Linked DNA regions of Nothobranchius furzeri. The protein of the gene in region 1 interacts with the protein of each later gene in a pairwise test. Links are inferred from orthologs where the notes say so. Each region holds a gene or a part of one and is shown on either strand. Other genes may lie near its edges. The genes, in order: fgfr1a and grb14.

Region 1 (3,829 bases):
AGATTTAAGCTCCCTTCAAATGTTCTATTTGTGATGGGACCACTATCGCACCTCAGCTGTGCCTCAGCATTCAGTTAATATGATTAAAAAGGTGCTGATCCAATAGCAGCAGTCAAAGAACCAAATCATTATGTTTTAAAGAAGTAATGGAGCTTCTAGTGTAATGCTGGTGTGCTTTCATGGCTTTTGTGCTGGTGGTTAAAACCATCATCAAGGTTAAGTGGTGTGGGCTGTAAGGAAGTCAGTAACCAGTAACTTGCTTCCTTTGTAGTCCCTGTGGAAGCAGAGCTGTTCACCCTGTTTCTTGGGAATCGCCTGTATCTGAGCTGCTCTCCCAAAGACTCCATCCATACTGTGAACTGGACCAAAGACCATGCTGCTCTTGTGGATGGAGAACACGCCCACATCCACAACGGTCAGCTGGAGATCGAGGCCGTGGAGCTGACAGACTCTGGCTTGTATGGATGCACCACCTTTGGCAACCACAGTGTGTTCTTTAATGTGTCAGGTACAAAAACACAAAACTGTAAAATGTTTTCATGTGTAATTCTTGCTTGCTGTGCTTCTGATTTTGTTAGAGATGCACGATTGAATATTTCCTGTTTATTTTAGTAGTTAGGCTGCATTTTAATAAGCAGGTCATAAATACTCATTTACTCGTCTTATGTTGCAAATAACTTCCAAGGTAGGAATGATTCTTTTTGCAAGATTCAAAATAGGTTTATTTTCACAAATCTGACAAATGAAGTGAATTTTTAGTGTTGTCTTTTTTTTTCTTTTTTTTTTTGTTATAACTTCAAGACCTCTTGTCCTTTAATGTTGCATCACTGGTGAACCTGAATGTACATAAAGTTGAGTTCCCAAAATGCTTTTCTGCCCACTAGTTGATATATTGGCATCATCTGAGGATGATGACGATGAAGAGGAGTCTTCATCAGAAGAAAACAAGCAGTTGGCCAGTCAGAAGCTGATGCGTAAGTGGTCAGATCTCCATATACTACCATTGCTGATTATTGACTCACCCAAGAAGGATTGTGAGTAATTGTTGGGAACAGCCAGTGATTTCAGAGCTTTATAATTCGATTATAGGCGTGCCGTGTGTGTGGGTCACAACCGGGCTAATTATTTCACTCAGATTCAGACCTTCTCCACTGCCTCTGTGACGGCTCTTACATGATTAATGTTCCTGTGGTGATTAATCGTGGTTAACCTTGGATGAGCCCCAACTTGTCTATAGTGTAATTAAAACAGTTTGGCTTTCTCATCTTCTTGCTACTTCCCGCTCAGCCCACAAAGAATCCAGTAGCTGCCAAGCATGAAAAGCATGTCGACCTTGAGTTTGTTGCCCGACTTATCTCTCAATGAAATTTACACTCCACAAATGACTTTTTTGAAGCTGGAGTTTTTAATTAAAGTGTTTGTTTTTAATTAAAAAGAACTGCCAAGCTTTTAAACTTGAAATGTTTTTGTGATGACTGTGATTTTGAATGCATTCGGTTGTGGTCTAGTTTATACTTGGCATTTTGGTTTTATCTGATACAGTGGGTACAGAAAGTATTCAGGCCCCTGTCAACATTCACTTTGTTATATTGCATTCACTTGCTAAAATCAATTAAATAATTTTTTTCATTATTAATGTACACACAGCACCCCATATTGACAGAAATTTCTGCAGAGTTATTAAACAAGAAAAACTGATATCACATGGTCCTAAGTATTCAGACCTTTTGCAGTGACACTCGTATATTTACCTCGGGTGCTTTCCATTTCTTCTGATCATCCTTGAGATGGTACACCTTCATTGGAATCCACCTGTGTTCATTACCCTGATTGGACTTGATTAGGAAAGACACACACCTGTCTATACAAGACCTTACAGCTCACAATGCCTGAAGAGCGCAGAGACAGAATTGTGGCAAGGCCCAGATCTGGCCAAGGTTACAAAATATCTCTGCTGCACCTAAAGTTCCTAAGAGCACAGTGGCCTCCATAATCCTTAAATGGAAGCACTTGCTAAAAGACACCTGAAGGGCCCTGAGATGATGAGAAATAAGATTCTCTGGTCTGAGGAGACCAAGATAGAACTTTTGCCCTTACTTATAAGTGGTGGTGTGTGGAGAAAACCAGGCACTGCTCATCACTTGCCCCGACTAAAACTCAATTGAGCATCTCTAGAGAGACCTAAAAATGGCTGTCCACCAACGTTCGCCATCCAACCTGACAGAAGTGGAGAGGATCCCCAAATCCAGGTGTAAGAAACCTGTTGCATCTTTACTAAGATCATTGCTGCATTAGCTCATAAGGGTGCTTCTGCCAAATACTGAGCAAAGGGTCTGAATACTAAGGACCATGTGATACTTCAGTTTGTCTTTTTTAATAAATCTGCATAAATTTCTAACATTCAGTGTTTTTCTGTCAACATGGGTTGCTGCGTGGACATTAATGACAAAAATGAATTTAATTGATTTAGCAAATGGCGGCAATTTAAGTTTGAAAAATTGACAAGCCTGAATACTTTCTGTACCCACTGCATACTCTGTATCTAATGTCCCTTTCAAATCAGTCACTGCTTTTCCAAAAATGACAAAAAAAAAGAAAATAAATGTAAATTTTTAGCTTTAAATGGCCCAAATAATTCTTACAAATATTTTACAGGCAGAGAGTGTCCTTAATTAAATTTAAGGTGATTTGTTCAGATGAGTGGAAATCTGAAACAATCAGGGTTTTAATTCCCACCACTAAGGTTGTGGGCAGTCTGCAAGAAATTTTTGTTTTCCTAAGACCACTTTTTGTTTCTTTTTAACCAGATAATTCTTTAGTTAAAAATTCTAAATGTTTTAAATTCCCTTCATTTAAAGCATGTATTTTGCTCTTGTGAATAGCAATGGCCCCGCAGTGGGCTCATCCAGAAAAAATGGAGAAGAAGCTTCACGCTGTTCCTGCCAGTAAGACAGTGAAGTTTCGATGTCAGGCCAGCGGCAACCCAACTCCCACTCTGAAATGGTATAAGAACGGAAAGGAGTTTAAGAGAGACCATCGCATCGGGGGCTTCAAGGTAAATAAGAAATTAGCGTTGATCATCTTTTCCTCCTATTGACACTTCCAACTGTTTTACCTTCTATTTTTAATTCTGGGATGTTTCACTACCAAGATGAAGAGTCTGATATCTCCACATTAGCTCACAGCTCCTCCCCTGGAGTAAAGCACTTTCTGCGGGTGTATAGGAGAGACAAGTTTCACAGTTGACTTGAGACACAATGCTGTTTGAAACCCTATGCTATCAGAAGGAATATTGTGCTACAGTTATACCTTTAGGTCGGCAGTCCTAGCCATCTGTTTAGGTGAAGCAAAGCAGCTCGCTGTCCTCTTCCTGGGTGACACTGATCATCTTTTCCGTAATTACATCCATGCAGTAGTAAATTTACCTCCTGTATTCGTGAAGGTAATGTGATTACTCTGTCTAAATTTCTTCCTGTTTGCCGGCAGCCTGTATTTAAATTTGTGAGGGTTGAAATGAAATAAAGATGGATAGGACTATTACCTCGATTCTAGTCTTACCTGATGGGTTGGATCTTTTATGGATTTCTTTATGCTGTTGTGTAAAGGCTCTAAATGTTACAATTGTATATATTCAACTAATTTGATTTTTAGGGACTGGAATAAACTTTAATTCTACACTTTATTTGTTATTGATTACAGATTTAAGGGATTAAAAGTGTTGGAACCAGGTTAACCCGCTTCTAACTTAAGGAAATTACATTCAGTGATTATTTTCTCACAGGTGTGGGATGCAGAGAGTCTAAAAAACAATCTACTCTCTTACGCACGT
Region 2 (3,069 bases), on another chromosome or scaffold:
CTGCGAACCCCAGATCTTCAGCTCACTGTCCACTGTGCGCTCCGAGCCGCGCGGAACAGTCCAGTATAAAGCTCTGATGTTCTGATGGGAATAATTTACCTCCGCGATGTGTGTAACGATTAAAATGTCAGCTCATCCATGCGCATCAGTGTGCGTCGGGGTAATTCTTTCAAACCAAGCAACATCCTTGAGTTCATCTGTCAAAATAAACAGTCAAATGGAAATATCTGTAACCTGCCGTTTAACTGTTTTGCCTTCCTGTGAAGATTGTTGCAAAGAGAAACAATTAAACTTGATTAACCCCAGAGCCACCCAGAGAACCAGAGCGCATGTGGGAAGGTTCCTCCCACTGAAGCGAGTGTTTTCCAAACCCGGTCTCTCAGAGAGACTTGTCACTTAGAAAATGTTCCCTGATTATGAAACTTTGGCTGAATAGCGCTTGTTCCTGTCTCCAATGTGGCGACGCATCCAGGAGCCGTCTGAGGAGAATTCCAGAATCTCACATTGTCTTCAGCTCATAAAGCGCATATGATTACGCACAAGCGTGACGCGTCAACCCGGTCTCACAGTAAGACCGGGTTGGACCTGCTCAGGTTTACGCAGACAATCTTTACATTTAGAATTAGCTTGCAGATGTAAAATTAATGCAGTAAAATATAAAGCATTTTATTTAAATATCCATTCATTATTTTACAAGCACAGATGTCAGATGGATGGAAGAGCCGCATGCGGCTCCAGAGCCGCGGTTGCCGACCCCTGTGCTAGCCTACTTTATTGTCCCCAGCAATTCTGAAAACAAACTGACGCCCTTGGGCTAAACCATGGTTAAACCATTCTTTTATTGTATTGTGAATCATTACCTGTTTACAAAATGCATTCAGCTTTACAGTGACTGCAGGAAGTCAAGTTTAGACATTGTAAAACAGACTTCCTGTCTCGAAGCGACACATCACTAAACCATAAACATGGTTGCATGGTATCTAAAGCACCAGTAGTCGTTTAATACACAGCTTATTTTGAAAATGGTCTTCTAAAAAAACATAATAATAACGTAGTAATAACAAAATAAGGGTGGGTTTTGTACCACATATATAAAAAAAAGTCTTTTCATGAATTTTCTTCAAGGCACAAGCCCACTTGGACTGTTCGTCCAGAAGCCAGAGTTAAGGTGCTTTGGGGTCCTCTGGAGACTCTCGAGTCCCACTTCAGAGGGTGATTTGAGTACAGTGGTGCTTGAGCTTGCAGGGCAGGGTCCCTCGATTTAACTGGTAAAACTCCACCAACTGGATCAAGTCTGTGAACTGAGTGTGGCCATCATCCAAACTGTAGAACACCTGCCCTTCATCATCCACCTGAGGGATATAATCATGAAAGTCATAAACTTTTATCCAATTTACATATGCAACATGACCTAAATGGAATAGGCTGAAGTAAATACTTATTATGGCTAACCCGATTAACATTCTATGAAAAACAGACACAAACTTTTATAATAAACCAAATCTGGTATCGAACAGAGATATTAGCTAATATTTAAGATTGTTTTAAACATAAAAAATCTGTCTCACAATGAACATGTTTAAGTAATTTATTTTCAACTAAATCATGATTTTTAATTCATTACATCTGCTACACGGATCTGTTTCAAACGCTGTTCACTGATTTCTAGCTTTATTCATCCTGAGCTATACATTTCTGAACTTGATTTAATTTAAACATCTTTTTAAATGTTTTTACTGTTTCGGCCTGTTTTAACTGATCTTCCAAGTCATTCCACAGACTAACTACTCTTACAAAAATTCATCAACCTTTTAGTTCTAGCTTTTATTTTTTTAAAGATGCTGGTTCATCTGAAGTTATACTGACTATTCCTGTGTTCCAAAAGCCTCTGGATAACAGGTCTGTCAGGGGATCAGACTTAATCTATCCCGGTTTTTTATTCTACACATCGTATCAGTGACTTCAGACAAATAAAATGATAAAGATTTTTCTTGACCTAGAAGAACAAGACATCAGACAAATGATCTATGAGTCAGAATCACTCGTGTTTTATGAAGAGAATGACGTCACAGGTGAAGCTTAAACACAAGTGTTGAGTGTGGTAAGGTTTTCTGAAGTTGGAAACAAAAAAACTACAAAAATAAAATGATGCATGAATGGCTGGGTGCATTTGTGCAGCTGTGTCCCCAAAGGGTGGCCAGGGGTGCCCAAGGACCTCCATTAACGTTTTCTGAGGGCACCACTGTATTTGTGGCATTTAATTAGTTGAACACAAAGTGTTTTATAATCAAAGATATGCTTTACTCACAGGTAGAATCTGAAAGTGTTTGATTTTCTGCATGTGGCAAAGCGACAGAACAAATGTCTTTGGGTTGCTTTGGCTGTCCCTCAGAAGAAACACTCTGAAACAAGAAAAAAAGGCTTATCACTGCCATTTAATCAATCAATCAAAGCTTTATTTATAAAGCGCCTTCCGCAACCCTGTCAGGAAGCCCAAAGCGCTGACATTTAGCATAAAACCAATGCACAAAATGCCATGATACAGCCATTTTGTATCAATAACAGTTAAAATACCATAACCCTCTCAGGCTCAAAGTAAGTTTTGATAAAAGGATGAGCAACTAAGTCCTTCAGGGGTACTTCTGAGTTAAAAATGCTCATGAAATACGTATGTGGAGTAACCAGGTAGGTAGGTTTTTACCCTCTGGTGTTGCAGATTTGCAACGTTAAAACCTACCTACCTGGTTACGCCACATACGTATTTGATGAGCATTTTGTAACTCAGTAGTACCCCTTAAGAACTTAGTTGCTCGTCCTTTTATCAAAACTTATTTTGAGCCTGAGAGGGTTAACTGTTGCATATCTGCAACGCCTGCCTCCAGAGGGTTAAAAAAGAAAATGTGTGGGGGGAAAAAAGCAGAAAACGTACCCATCAATGGGACCCTGATGGGTTATTAGACGCTGAGCCTCGTCTCGAGACAGTTTACCATGAAACCATGGCTGGGACAAATGGATTGCTGATGCATAAAGATGAAATATTACAACTTTTTTGTCATTTTGTGAATAGTT

What was found.
Region 2: the proteins of fgfr1a (region 1) and grb14 interact in a two-hybrid assay, tested with the Homo sapiens proteins (2 studies listed by BioGRID, with this or other methods). The link is inferred for Nothobranchius furzeri from reciprocal best matches to the Homo sapiens genes FGFR1 and GRB14.

Annotation. Positions count from the first base shown.
Region 1 is NC_091757.1:34,228,729-34,232,557, forward strand, and holds part of fgfr1a (fibroblast growth factor receptor 1-A), read left to right. Parts: intron 1-271; coding exon 272-508; intron 509-884; coding exon 885-974; intron 975-2,882; coding exon 2,883-3,055; intron 3,056-3,829. UniProt on the Homo sapiens protein: Tyrosine-protein kinase that acts as a cell-surface receptor for fibroblast growth factors and plays an essential role in the regulation of embryonic development, cell proliferation, differentiation and migration.
Region 2 is NC_091754.1:19,776,900-19,779,968, forward strand, and holds the end of grb14 (growth factor receptor-bound protein 14), read right to left. Parts: intron 3,018-3,069; coding exon 2,930-3,017; intron 2,403-2,929; coding exon 2,309-2,402; intron 1,353-2,308; coding exon 1,206-1,352; 3' UTR 821-1,205; downstream 1-820. UniProt on the Homo sapiens protein: Adapter protein which modulates coupling of cell surface receptor kinases with specific signaling pathways. Binds to, and suppresses signals from, the activated insulin receptor (INSR). Potent inhibitor of insulin-stimulated MAPK3 phosphorylation.